Linked DNA regions of Struthio camelus. The protein of the gene in region 1 purifies or fractionates together with the protein of each later gene. This does not show direct contact. Links are inferred from orthologs where the notes say so. Each region holds a gene or a part of one and is shown in the gene's direction. Other genes may lie near its edges.

The links. Proteins that work in one complex are often made in the same cells at the same time.
Region 2: the proteins of ARPC1A (region 1) and ACTR2 purify together in Homo sapiens (affinity purification with mass spectrometry; 9 studies listed by BioGRID and IntAct, counting the BioPlex papers as one, with this or other methods). This does not show direct contact. The link is inferred for Struthio camelus from reciprocal best matches to the Homo sapiens genes ARPC1A and ACTR2.

Annotation. Positions count from the first base shown.
Region 1 is NC_090956.1:4,596,091-4,603,174, reverse strand, and holds the start of ARPC1A (actin-related protein 2/3 complex subunit 1A), read left to right. Parts: upstream 1-4,076; 5' UTR 4,077-4,327; intron 4,328-7,084. UniProt on the Homo sapiens protein: Probably functions as a component of the Arp2/3 complex which is involved in regulation of actin polymerization and together with an activating nucleation-promoting factor (NPF) mediates the formation of branched actin networks.
Region 2 is NC_090944.1:141,298,142-141,306,009, forward strand, and holds the start of ACTR2 (actin-related protein 2), read left to right. Parts: upstream 1-4,859; 5' UTR 4,860-4,947; coding exon 4,948-4,995; intron 4,996-5,315; exon of another isoform or gene 5,316-5,424; intron 5,425-7,868. UniProt on the Homo sapiens protein: ATP-binding component of the Arp2/3 complex, a multiprotein complex that mediates actin polymerization upon stimulation by nucleation-promoting factor (NPF).

The DNA of each region.
Region 1 (7,084 bases):
AAGTACCCAGTTCCTCTTCCCTCTCCTTCTTCCTCTGCTGGAAAAAGGAGAGGCTACACATCATTGCTTATAAAAGGGATTCCTTCAAAAAAGAGAGAGGTTTGGAACATTTTGATGGGAATTTGCCTGGACATAACAGTAATTCTGTCTTCTTCCTAGCGAGCTGATGAAAGCTAAATAAGACGCTACCGCAATACAGCTTCAGTGTCCTCTTTTTTTTTTTTTCCCCAGGGTACTGCACAGCTTACCATTTTAAAAAATTGCTAAAGTAGTGATAGAAACAAGTCTAGGATATCAAGAAGACACCTACGTGGGAAAGACCGGAAGAAAGACAACAAAATCTGCAACTATCTGCAGAGAGAAGAACTACCCGTGTGTCAGACCTGAAAGCTTGCAAATACACTTCTCGAGTATACTTAGAATGATGGAAGGCACATCTAGTATAACTTGAAAACGATCTGTGCTAACACGGATATTGCATTTTTCATGTCAAGGACAGAAATAATTCTTCTCACTGGTAGTCCTAATGCTTAGTCTTAGAAGAGCTTATTGTATGAGAAAAACTTGAAGTTGCTGCTTTGTGATGCTACCCCTTTTACGGTGTCAGAGTTGCTCACCTATAATGCTATCACATGAAAAGAGAGTCTCCTTCCCATTCCCGCTCTCCTGTTCAATGCCTTGAGCCAGCCAGTATTAACAATACCAAGGCACAATTTTTCTGTCACAATCTAAAATGGGGATAACTACTGCTGCCATTTTCTCCACTTTTCTAGTGGACATCATTTTCTGTAGGAGCTAGAGTAAAACTGCTGTCTTCCAAACCCCACTATGCTGCTGTTGGTCACCAAGCCTTGCTTGGACAACTGGAACAAATGCATTTAGGCATACAATCTTTGAAAAGCAGGCTACCAGCAGGACAGGTGTTGCCAGATGTCATACTCTTTATACTTTGCTCTAGAGGTGGTCATTTAGAGTTTGAGCCTAGGGCCTGAGCAGCAGGCTCTTACCCACTTCACTGCAGATCTTATCTGGCAGGGGGGTAAAAGCAGTCAGGAGCAAGCTCTTCCCTACCTAGAAAGCCAGTACGGAAAAAGAGACGGCACAGCAAAATTTTGGTTAAAACGCAAACAGGAAGCATTCTGCCTTCTTTCCCATTCTGTATTATGGCCATTTAACACATTCCACAAAGTTAAAACAGGAGTTGACAAATAGGACTTTGTATCAAGTAGCCAAAAAGCAGGACAGTGACATAAATTAACTTTCCCTGCTTAGAAACCCCAAATTTGAAAGTACTAAAATCAATAGTGACTTTATCTGATCTTAAGGCAATGCTCTTTAGAATTCAAGAATATTATTGATGAAAACAGATTTTGATAAAACTATTATTATCTAGATAGCTATTCTAGAGCAGCTGTCAGGAAACGCAATTAGGAAAGAAAGACATTTGCTGTCTATCCCTTTTAAACATGAGGCATGTAATGATTCTCTCTCCATGGTTAGGAGTGCTGTATTTTCAAATACTGGAGCTAACAATGCACATCTAGAACCCCTCTCACGGCAAATATTTTCATTTGCAAATATCTGTTTTTACATACAATAGCTTGCTTTGAATCCAAAAGACCTCTTTTTGACTAGCTTGTGACCCAACTGCATGCAGTCGCTATTTAAAAAAAATGCCAACAACGGCAAAGGATGTCCCAACTCTTTTTTTTTTTTTTTTTCCCCATAAAAATCTTACTGTCAGACTGTATCTAGACTATTTTTACTGAGCTCAGTTCAGCCTAGCTTGTGCGGCCTTAATAACAAAAACATTGGCATCCTTTCTGGATTAGCACAGCACAATTGCATCAGCAATACAGCAAGAACAAAGGTGGAAAACTCTCCAAAATCCTTCGCTGGAGACAAGACCGTAACATTTAATGTTTAAAAGTTCTGAGCTCCTGCAGAGGTCCTTGTTTAGTTACTTTCACCTTGTCAGGTGAAAATCATCTTGTAAACATGGAACCATACTTAGAAGTAATTTCATTCATATTATGTAATTTTACTTGGCCTAGTTGCATGTGTTTAACCTGTGCATCTGATCTAGTTTTGTTGTTAATCCAGTAAGGGCCGCAATGATTACTTATCTCAGAGTTACAGAACTGTAGTGACACCGGTTCATGAGATCATCTAGTCTAGCCTCTTATCCAAAAGCAAGATCTTATATTGCATTTATGCAATACTAACAAGTATTTTTCAAAACTATTCTCAAAAACTTCTGGTAAGAGCCCACATCTCATCAAGACAGTTCCCCATAGTGCTTAGATAGGGATTTTCAACAATTTGAGCTTCCACTGTAACCTAGATCTCCATTGTTATTATTTTAGCTTATGACTTCTTGCCCTACCCACAGTGGACATAAAAGAACAAATTGTTCCTTTCCTCAGAGCAGTAGCCTTTTATGTATTTGGAGACTTACTGCATTTTTCCCTAGTCTTCTCTTTTCTCAACAGCCTCAATAAAAGTCACAGGTTAAAAGACTCTGATCGTATTTTTCACCTCTTTCTCCAAATTATCCCTAATTTTCTTATGTGGAGACCAGGACCGGATATACTCATCTAGCAAAGATTTTATATAGCTCAGTAGAGCTGAACAATTTCTGAGTATGTCTTACTGACGATTTGCTTAATCCTCATAGCCCTGGTGTGGTGTTTGCCTTTTCTGCAACAGCGAGACATTATCGATACCTATTCGGGAAACAGTACAGCTCCTCCATCCTTTCTTGCAGAATAGCCAGCTGCCCAGTTGATCCTGTCCTGTAATTCTGAAGTTGATCATGCTAGTGTACAACTGTTAAAGAACTGCATCCTATTTTTTCATAGAGTTGCTATTCTGAATTCTAGCTCCATGACCATGTACTTATGCTGCCGTTAGACTCGATCTCATGTTCAAATGCAATAATTATAATCTCATCATTGGTGAGTAATGGGCCCAGGGTAGCTCCCAGTAGAAGCACTGATATCAAGTATATTTTTCTCAACTAGTTTTGCAACTCCCTTAGAACAGTATCATCTAGACTGGTTTCCCAGTTTATTATTAGACTATCCTATATGACATGCGCTGCTTCTCCCTTATCTGCAAGCCCTGTTACACTGCCAGAAAAGGAAACTGGACTGGTTCAACCCATTCTTGACAAAGCCATACTGGTTAACGTTCACTTTCTCATTTCCTTCCAGATGCTTATAAATTTTTTATTTTTTCCTGGGACTAGAAATTAAGCTTACTACTCTATGGCCCCCCCAGCATATCTCAGAGTCACTCATCTCTCCCTACTGCATGCCTCAAAGACAACAAAGTTTGTAAGTTTTACAGAAGCCAAATCATCAGACCCCAAATGGCAGGCAACTTCTCTAGGGAATTAAGAGTAGGGCAAAGAACTGCAACTGCATTTCTTTCTATATTCCAGCCAGATAGGAGGGAAGGTCCTAGAGCTCCTGAAGACCCAGGAAGGGACTGTTAACGCCTGCACTAAGAGGTTCTTTTTCTTTCTTTTCACCAATCCTTTGGTCTCCAAGAGGGAGGAAAGCAGGGAAGGCGTAGCACTCTGCTTTTCCAGAACCTGAAGAAGTCAAAATTATCAAGCTCACAAATCCCACTGCCTCCACCTCTCGGCTCTAGGGCTCTCCTCACACCCTGACAGGCCCACACAGCCACCCAGCAAGCCGCAGCGGCCTCGGCGCCTTCACACACCCCCAAGGCTCCAGGCCAGGAGACGCCGGGTCTCCTGCCCCCTCTAGCAGATGTAGACATGGTCTCCTTCACCTCACGAGGCTAAAAAACACCAAGACCGACAAAATCACTCTCTTAACGCTTCTCCCATACTCACTAAAATACTCCCCAAAACACCCCCCTCCTCCCCGGGGAGCAGCAGCCGCCCCCGACACCACCCACCCCCTCGCGGCGCCTGCGCGCTCCCCGCGGCGCATGCGCCCTCCTCCCCCCACCACGGCCGCCTTTGTGTGCGGCGCTCGCCCGACGCCCGTGGGGCGTGGCCCCCGTCCCGCGCAGGCGCAGAGCGACCACCCGGCTCCCTCCCCACCCTTCCCCGGCTTCCCCCGCCCCTGCAGCGCGGCGGCGGCGCAGGCGCAGCCCGCGGGGCGGGCGGCGGGCGGCGCGCAGGCGCAGAGCGCGTTTCCTGGCTCCCTTGTCAGTGCCGGGCCGCCCCCTTCCCCCCTTTCCCCCCTCCCTTTCGGCCTCCGCCGCCGGCCGCTCCCTCTGCCGCCGCTCGGAGCGGAGTCGCGTTGACTGACCAGAGTCCGCGAGTCCCGCTCCGCTCCCGCCGCCTCAGGTGAGCCCCGCGCCGCGGGTGGCTGTCCGCGGCGGCCTGCCACGCGCGGAGGGGGGCGGAGGAGGGGGGGCCTGCCGGTGCCGCGGGGATGGCGGAGGAGGAGGAGGAGGGAGATTCACCTCAGCGCGGGCCTGCCCGGGGGGGGGGAGGGGAGGGGCGCGCTCCCCCCCCCCTCCCGCCGCCGAGAAGGGGGGAGGGGGGACGCCCTTGTGGCGCCGGCGCCGCGCGTCGCCCTGAGGGGACGGGGCGCCCGGGCGGTGGATGGGGCCGCGGTAGGCGGCCGCCGGGGAGGGGGTGAGGGGCGGGGGTGGGCTCGGCGCTCGGCTCTCTCCCGGTCGAGCAGTGGTGTTGTCAGCGCGGGCAGGGCCGCCGGCAGCCATCCCGAGCCGGTCGGCTTTGTCAGGCTGATGGTGTGCCGTGCCTGCGGGGAGCGACCCCCCACGGGAGAGCAGCGCTGCGGGGACTGGGACGGGGATGACAGCGGTAGGAGGCAGCCCTTAATTATAGGCGCTTCTCTGCCAGATGTTTGCAGATGATGTCGGCGCTCTGAAAATAGGCAAGGATTAAAAAGTTATCTCTCTGTCTCTCTCCGTCTCTCAGACGTGCGCACACACGTGCTATCTCAGATTCCAAACCCCAGTCCTTGCTGGTTGCTTGGCCCGGGGTAGCCTTATACCGCACATTTTTTACCCCGTTGAGGAATGACAGCAGCTGAGTCCCGTCTTTCCCAACCACCACCCTTTCAGCCTGCATGCCCAAGAAGCTTGTGCTGTACAAGCATACAACATTTCCATTTTTTTTTTGCACTGAAACTCAAGGACAGTTACTCTGCATTTGACAAAAAAAAATTAGGGATAGCTACCCTAAGTACCTTGCTGACAAAGTTAGCTTAAGAGCACCTTTTTCCTATGTGAGATCCTGAGATTGGCTGCAGGAGGATATTAAGGTTTTTACTACCTATCAATTGTATCAAGATTCACAGAGAGAGTTGTGTTTTCTGTAGTGAAGTGTGAGTTTGATTTTGTCTGCGCGTTGATAAGGAATAAATATAGCTGGAAGATTTCATTACGATGTATCTTCCTAAAGAAAAAAAAAAACTGCAAGTTCAGACAGGAGAACTAGTAGTGCTTTTTGAGGTTATCATCATTATTGTTTTTTATAAGTTTGTTACCAAACCAAAAGAGGAAGCTGTCACTTGCTACAGGTTATGGTGCTTGAGAAACTCTATCAGTGGGCAAGGATGGATCATATCTCCTGTCTAGATACAAGTTTTTGGAACAGCCAGTGGGTTAGAAAGTAAAAATCCCTGAACTAGGTATTATTAGGATGAGACTGTGCCTTTTATACATAGTGCCAATCTGTGCAGAAAATACCAGGGCTGTATTAGAAAGTGCTTTGAAATAGCTACATTCCTTGGGGAGGGGGGAGAATTAGATGTTTTTAAATTTTTATTTCGGAAAGAGTAGAAAAAGCTGAGCATTCCTTGTTGGTAGAACAGCTCTTCAACTTTTCCTGTATATGGAAATGTACTGCTACTGCATGTTGGCAAGTACGAAAGCAAGATCGTGGAAAACGCAATTCACAGACATGTTTTGCTTACATTAACACATGGAATCTCAAATCATGGCTGTCCAAGGTCAAAGGTAACTCAGATTATGTCAACAAGCTCACATTAATTGAAAAAAATTATTTTGCTTAGCACTGCATATATTTAATAGCTTAGTTTGGTTTGCAGAATATGATTATTAGGAGAATCATGAAATTAGTGTCAGTTAAAATTAGGAATTGGACTTAAAGCTCATGTAGTTGAAAGTTATGATTGAAGTACACTTCCAATGCAATTGGGAGTCGTGTTTCTTTAAGTTTAAAACAGCAGTGCATGATTTCTTTAGAGAAGAGTCTTTTCACCCCTTTGCATTAATGAGGTGCTATGTCATCTCTACTTCAGGATTCAGCACTTTCTGTGTATTTGATATACTAGTGCTGTGATAGTAATTGCTAAACTCAGTAAGAACTTGCTCATCTTTCATTCACTCCTCAGTTTCTATTGAATTGCCATTCATTTCCTGTTTGCCTCCAAATTCCTACCTTGCCCTGAAGTCTCCACCCTCTGCTAACATGGCCATACTTGGGTATGTTGTAATTTCAGGCTATAATGGGTGTGGATGTCTTGGAATGACACCACAGAGGTTTTTCTTTTTAGATGTAGATGTAGAGGTAAAAGACTTTGATCCATCAGCCAAGAATAAATTGCTATGAAATATAGTGGAATATACAGAAGGAGGATGGAATTGGCAAATCTAAGTTGTATGTGCTGAACTATGCACATTTTAATTATTATAGGTGACCTTGAGCTGCTGTGATGTTATCTTCCATCCATTTATGCTGCCATTGATTAATGCGAGACATAGAATATGATATGAAATTTTAAACAGCTTTGCACCTCCAGTTGCAGATGTTCAGGGCCATCTCTTCTGATGTAGTTATAAGTTAAAGAAAAAACTGGGTAGCTAGTTTTTTTTTCCCCCAAAGTATTGACAAACTAGACTAATTTAGCTTGTTCTCTTAGTGTTTAAATCTCATGGGGAAGAAAACATAACTATAGAACAGTTAAGTGCATGTATTAATTTGAAGAAATTAGTAATTAATTACTGTTTTTTGTAATTTTTCCCTAGGATACATGTGAATAGTTTTATCAAATAATATGTCAGCAAATTATAGTTGTCTATGAATGTTCTGGACATGTCAATTTAATCT
Region 2 (7,868 bases), on another chromosome or scaffold:
CGGGTCTAGAAAAGCACTATTTGCTGTGCTTTTAGACTCTCCAGGCTGCCTTGTGATAGAACTAAGAACATTTCTAAGGCTGACCAGATGCAGAAGAGATGTCATCTGTTCCTCCTAGACCCTCCTTCTTCTGCTATACCGAGCAGACGTCTGGGACAGCTGTCCCAATAACTCATTCTTCTCTTTCCGTTCTGAGTCATTCCTGCCTCTGTGCATATGGTTTCTCTATGCCTACACATCAGGATAAGCATAGATCACTTGTTCGGCAAGTTCATAAAAATGTATCCCTCTCAGCAGAAGATAGATGCAGTACTTTACCTGATAAGCTTTCAGCACTCTGCTTAGTCATCATGCTTTTATTATCTGCTATTTCACAGAATTTCACAGAATGGTTGAGGTTGGAAGGGACCTCTGGAGATCATCTAGTCCAACTCCCCTACTGAAGCAGGGACCTCTAGAGCACGTTGCCCAGGATCACGTCCAGGCGGGTTTTGAATATCTCCAGCAAAGGAGACTCCACAACCTCTCTGGGCAACCTGTGCCAGGGCTCTGTCACCCTCACAGTCAAGAAGTTTTTCCTCAGGTTCAGATGGACCTGCCTGTGTTGCAGTTTGTGCCCGTTGCCTCTTGTCCTGTTGCTGGGCACCACGGAGAAGAGACTGGCCTCATCCTCTCAGCACCCCCCCCTTCAGATACTTGTACACATGGATCAGATCCCCTCTGTCTTCTCTTCTCCAGGCTCAACAGGCCCAGCTCTCTCAGCCTTTCTTCAGAGGAGAGATGCTCCAGTCCCCTAATCGTCTTTGTAGCCCTCTACCAGACTCGCTCCAGTACTGGGGAGCCCAGAATCGGACACAGTACTCCAGGTGAGGCCTCCCCAGGGCTGAGCAGAGGGGCAGGATCACCTCCCTCAACCTGCTGGCAACACTCAACACAAAGGATACCATTGGCCTTCTTGGCCACAAGGGCACATTGCTGGCTCATGCTTAACTTGTTGTCCACCAGCACTCCCAGGTCCTTCTCCACAGAGCTGCTTTCCAGCAGGTCAACCCCCAGCCTGTACTGCTGCATGGGGTTATTCCTGCCTAGGTGCAGGACCCTGCACTTGCCTATGTTGAACTTCAGGAGGTTCCTCTCTGCCCAGCTCTCCAGCCTGTCCAGGTCCCTCGGAATGGCAGCACAGTCTTCTGGTGTGTCAGCCACTCCCCCCAGTTTAGTATCGGCAGCAAACTTGCTGAGGGTGCACTCGGTCCCTTCATCCAGGTCATTGATGAATATATTGAACAAGACTGGACCCAGCACTGATCCCTGGGGGACATCGCTAGCTACAGGCCTCCAGCTAGACTGCACCACTGACCACAATCCTCTGAGCTCGGCCATCCAGCCAGTTCTCAATCCACCTCGCTGTCCACTCATCCAACCCACACTTCCTGAGCTTACCCATGAGGATGTGATGGGAGACAGCGTCAAAAGCCTTGCTGAAGTCCAGGCAGACAACAGCCACTGCCCTGCCCTCATCTACCCAGCCAGTCATTCCATCAGAGAAGGCTATCAGATTGGTCAAGCATGATTTCCCTTGGGTGAATCCATGCTGACTACTCCTGATCCCCTTCTTGTCCTCCAGATGCTTAGTGAGGACCTCCAGGATGAGCTGTTCCATCACCTTTCCAGGGAGGGAGGTGAGGCTGACAGGCCTGTAGTTTCCTGGCTCCTTCTTGCCCTTTTTGAAGGCTGGAGTGACAAGGCTATCATGAAGTCCTGCTCTCCCGCAAAAGATACAGCACCATCTCCTATTAGGAAAGCGTGGATAGTTCTCTCCAGTACTTTAAGAGCAACAGAAGAAAACTAGATTATGGAGTATATACCCCAAACTGTTAGACTCCAAAAATATAAAAAAATATTTTTATCTATTATTTTCTGATACGCTTGCATTTTGCTTTACTACCTTCTGAGCAGGTTGCACTAACTGGAATATGCACAGAATGGAATACATGCAGGATATATACAGAGAAGGCAATTCACATGTACACAGTACCCTACGTTTTTTCTCATAAATTCCCTGATTTTTAAGCTTTCCCCTCCAATATATCTTTGCATTGTATGACTGATCTACAAAAGATATACCAGTCCCTGTATATCTTGGAGGTAGTTTAATTAAACCTGCTACTTTGATGCATTAATAAATATATTGTACTTTCAGCATGGTTCAAGCACTTCACAAATACAGATACGTCACAGAATCTCTCTGGCTTTGTGCTGTTCCTCAATGCCCCTAACGCAGAGAACAGATCTCATTCTCCATTGATACAACAGTGGACACACTGGCACGGAGAAGACATTCTCCATTATCCTGCTCATAGTAAAGGGCTCTGACAAATACTGACCACACTACAACTTCTCTCCTTACTCTAAGAAGGTTCCTGCCATGCTCTGCAACCTTAATACTTTTTTTTTTTTTTTTACTTTTGAACATGAAGCAGTATCTCTGTTCAATTTAAGCAGGTAAATAAGCTCAAAAATACAGTTAAGTTCAAAACACATTGTATTTCCTTTCCTGCATTGTATGTGACCTTCGATAAAACACCAAAAATCTTTTAAGGCTATCCAACAACTGACAGCAATAGCTGGTAGCGAGTACAGTGATGGATCTAATGACTATACTGTGCAGTACATAAGTTCCTCCTTAATAGGCCTATTTCCGTTACAGAACTTGCATCCCTTTGATGCGGTCTTACATGCTACGCTAGATGCAGCAAATTAACTACTGATTTTGCAGTGATCGGGCAGACTTAATGTCACTGTCTCTTGAGTGGCTTTAATGACACTGTAAGTTCTGACTGCACTTCTCAAACTAACCCTTTACAATTCAGATTTTTCTTTAATTAATAGCCAGCATCCCCTTAGAAAAGGGATCATATAATAAAAGTGACGGGGGATCTGTGTTATCATAATCAAATTAAAATCTTAAGCATATTTATAGGGACCTAGTGAATATCTAATCTCAGAAAAGTTAGCTAATGCATTTTGAGTTTTTTTTCCTTCAGGCCTCCCAAGTTAAAAATCCAGTTTGCCTCAGAACAGACTGTATTTTGCCATCATTCTACATAAGGAGACATCACTGAAGCCTTCTGCCTGACAAATCAACAGACGATTAGAATACAAACTGCAGCATTTTTCATTCACTGATGGGTCAAGTTCCTTATTAATGGGCATGTGTATGGTATGGCATGGTATCATACCCAGCTTACTGAAACTGAGGCCAGGGCAGCTTGGCAGGTTAAGTGATCTGTCCAGAATTTACAGCAAGTCTAACATCAGAGCAATAAACAGGAGCTAGTTCCCATGTCTGAGCCGTCTAAGCTGAGCTGAACAAGCCGAGTGATTTGAGTTATACAGACTAACTAATGTTTCTGGACCAAGAGCAGGCTTTTAAAGCCATTGCTTTTTGTACCTGGCTTTAACCAACAACGTAAATCCTTCACTTTTATCAGCATCAAAACATCATGCACTGAAGAAAACCTAAAATGAATGTTCAACACACTCGTAGTAGAGTGCAGTTCATACCCAGGTGAGGCTGCTACTGCTCCACAGCAACCAGGAAGTCCTTCCATTACAGCTATATTGGACTGGATTTCTCCATCTTTGTTTGGATAGCCTCCTCGTCCTACTAGATAATGCCATGTCTTCTCATCATTCTCAATATCTGAACATCATTAAAGTAAAAAAAAAAAAAAGTCAAATATTATGCATATTCTGATTTTTAAAAAATTTCTTACTGTTCCCACTAGTCTGTAGACTCCAAAGCAAAAAAAAAAAAAAAAAAAAAAACCACACACACACAGCAACAGCCATTATTTATCTGCAACCTGAACACAGAAATCATTGTGCTGACATAGTTTCTGCTATGTCTAATTAAAACGTGCTGTTGTTCATATAGGATTGACACAGCTAGTGCCACAGAAGTAAAAAATTAGCATACGCCCCTCATCTCTCGAGTCGCCTGGAAGTCCGTAGGGTTTGGGGAAAGGCAAGGAAAATGGCACCAGGCTATCAGAGGCAAACTGAGAGACTGTATTTGCTCTTTCCTCTATTCGGAGCCCATGGAAGAAGGCAAACCGCTTGGGAAGGGCATCCTGTTTGATGGGCTAATGTAAACGCGGGAGAGCAAAAGCTGCTTAAGAGCAGTTAACCGTAAAAATAACGCAGTATCGACGACGAGTGGCTCCGTAAATTTAACAGCGGCGTGATTTAATGTCGTTATATAAAAACGCGGCCTGGCTAACGGATCCCGCGTAAAATAGGAAAGTGGGAAGGACGAGAGCAGGCAGAAAGCGGCTCCGGAGCAGCCGACAGCTCTCCGGGGAGGAAGGGCCTGCCCTGCCCGAGGGCAGCGGGGTGGCTGGGTGCCAGCCGGCTCCTCTCACAGCACGCCGGGGCACTCCGAGGGGCAGACGAAGCCGATCCGCCTGGCCGCGAGGGCCCAGATGACCGAGGGCGGCCCAGAAACCCCCCTCCGCCATTACGGGGCGAGGCGGCCCGGCGGCGCCCGGGGAACGGCTCGGCCCCCGCGTGGCGGAGAAGGGCCGGCTGGAAAGGAGAAGAAAAGGAGCATTATCCGGCTCTTTTCCGGGCCTACCCGGCCGGGTAGGAGGCTGGGGCGAGGGGCGGCGGCGGACGGGCTGGCGGGGCCGCGGGCCGGCGGCTGTGAGGGGGCCGCGGGCCGCCGCCATGGCAACGCGGCGGGGGGGGAAGGGGCGGGCGGTGGCGGCCTGCCGGCGGCTCTGATTGGGCGGGGCCGCGCGGCGGCGGCGCTGATTGGGCGGGGCCGCGCGGTGACGGCTTCCGGCGCGCGCGGCGGGGCGGGGGGCGCGGCGGCGGCGGCGGCGGCGACGGTTGGGGCGGCGGCGGCGGCAGTGACGGTTGGGGTGGCGGTTGCTCGGTGGCGGCATGGACACGCTAGGCAGGAAGGTGGTGGTGTGCGACAACGGCACCGGGGTGAGTCGCTCCGGCCCCGGGACCCGCCCTGCCGCCGCCGCCGCGGGGGGAGAAGCAGGGCGACTCCCCTCCCGGCCCGGCTTCCTGCCGGCACGCCCGGGGCCCGGCAGCGGGCCGCGCCCGGCCTGCGCCGCCCCGGGGCCTCCAGAGCTCGCCGCGGCGGAGCGGGGCCCCTGCGGCCGCCCGTGCACCGGGCGGGGGAGGCTCCCGGGGCCGACGGGATCCGCGCGCCCTCGGCCCTCCGCCCGCGCCGGCCTCCGGGCGCGCAGCGAGCCGCGCAGCGGCGGCGGCGGCGCGCTGAATGAATGGGCCGGGGGAGGTCGGCAGGGGAAGTCGGGCCCTGCGGCGGCTGGCGGCCGGTGTCCTTTGAGCCGGAGCGAGCGAAAAGGGGCATTTGAGTCCTTGCACCCGGGAAGCGGTAGTACCTCGGTATTTACTGCCGTCGGGTCTCTATCTGTGCCCGTCCCCCAGCATCGTGGCAATTTTATTACGCGTATTGTATTCCTATATATGACTTTAGCGGGTTTCCCTTTAGTAAGGAGTACCAAGCAGAAAATACGGTTTTATTTTATTTTTTTTTTATTTTTAATCGGAACGCTCAGTTTATCCGTTTCGCATTTAGGCAGGCAGAGATGCGCCCTCTGTAATGCGAGTTTTTTGGTTTCACGGAAGCATGTCATGCAGCTTGTGGTTAAAAGGCAGCGGGGTCCTTTCATTAATAGCTTTATGACCTGCAAAATTCACCGAATTGGGAGTCGTGGATAAAGAGGGCGCCAAAGCTTTCCTCCTCTTCCTTTCACCTTTCCTGCCCTACGTGAACATGCACGTGCACACTATAAATTTGTTCTTTTGTTAGTGTTATGGAGGCTTTGAGGTGCCTCAACAGGAAGTGACAAAGATACCATTTTAAAGGCATCAGATAAGATGTTATAGGTGAATTTCCGCCTTAGTAATTTTGTTTAGCAATTGAAATTTTTCCCCCCAGAAAAGCAATATTATCAGGGGAGTTAACAAAGCTGACAGGTTGTCAAGAACTCTCGAATGGCAAAAAAAGAAGTATTTTTTAATAAACACTTTGAATAAAGATTAAAATATTTAAAGCTAAAGATTGAATAGTTGAAACAAAGAACGTCACTGTAAGAGGTTCAACACCCTGCCACATGAATTAAGGCATTTCCAGTAAGCATCTGAAATGATTAGAATGATTCAAAAAGCAGAACATCGGATTTGACAGTTCTGAAGTCTTCCTCTTTTTCCTCCTCTAGAAAGATTCTTTTGAGTAAGTGCTGAGGTAGAAAGCCTTTGGGCCTTTTTTGCAATATCATTTACACAAAGGAAAGAAAAAGAGGCGATTTATCGTTTTCCATTTACAAATGGACATGGAGGCAGGGTTCTGTTGGTTGGTTGTTTTTTTTAAGTGTTTAATGCTCATACTGTCACCTTTGTTGGAAATTTATGTAATTTCAGGATTTGATCCTTTAATACAGCCTTTTACGTAGCAATGAATGGCTTTAAAAGGTATAAAAAAGTATAAAAATATTGTTTTAAAATGTTTAACATATAGATAGTGACCATAATGTCATACTGTAGTCGATCTCAGGGATGAAACATGGGACAGAAGCGGTTATTTTTATGCAGTTTTGCAAGCTGTAGTTGGGACACGATTTTTGTGCAGTGAGACATATCTGTGTGTCTTTTTAAATCAAAGAGACATCTGATATATTTTTTTCTCCATGAATTGTACCACCTGGATATAAACAAATACGACAAATACTGTTATACTGCAGTTACAGTGCCTGGAGTAGGGGTCTGTGTCACTTCAACTTCTGTTGTTTTGGGTTGAGTTTTACCTCTAAGCAGAACAATGCATGTATGGCCATCCCCTGGCCCCAGAGATGACTGTGTGCTAGTGCAAAGTATGAAGAAATGGTTGTTGTTAAATCTGTAAACTTAAAATATTCAAATTGAATTGGGGTAAGTACACCAGAAGAAAATTCAGTTCATAAGATCCATACGTCTTTCAGACTCCACCTGTATACTGAGAATATCAAGTCCTGTATTGCCAAACCAGCATTTTTATAGTAAACATTGTTATATGGTAAAGAAGAGCTGCTTTACATTAGAATAGTGTCTGATACACTGTGATATGTCTTACTTAAACCATGACTAAAGTTAAATCTCTTGCCAAGTGCCGGAAATAAAAATGCAGGAATTTTAGACTCAGTTTTAACTTTCGGCTTCTTTTGAAACTTACTGTTCTTGTCATGCTGAAATATGAGTTTTTAATGTATTTGACTGCAATCAGTCTTTGAGGAACAAGTGACCAAGAAGTGTGTTCTTGCAACACACAGTGTAAGAGAGGGAAGCTGGCGATGCCATCTTGGAGCGTTTGAGATGAATGTTCTTACTGGTCTAGGTCAAATGATAAGTTACTTTATGATCTGGATAGTTTTCTAATTATATTTAAAATCTTTTTTTGAGAGTTGCATCAATTAAAAAAATCAAGTAAAGAGTCCTGATAAGAATAATATTATCCATTTTAAGACTTTTCATGTGACATGTTTGTGAGCAGATGTAGAAAGCTTCCTCATTCTTTTCGTTTGAAAGAATACTTATACGTACAAGTTCTTACTGTTTGATGACTCAGTAGGAAGTGAAAGAGTCGGTATAAAACCACAGTGCGATGGAGAAGAAACTATATATGGTAAAACTTCTTACATATGTGGTCTTGTGTACAGGCAAACTAAGTAGCTGTTCTTAAAACATTTTTTGGTGTATAGCAAATATTTGCAAAAATACATGATGTTGAACTCTTGGCTTCCTCAGAAAGATGTACAAATTCATTGAATTATTAGTGTTAAAAGCAAGGTGTA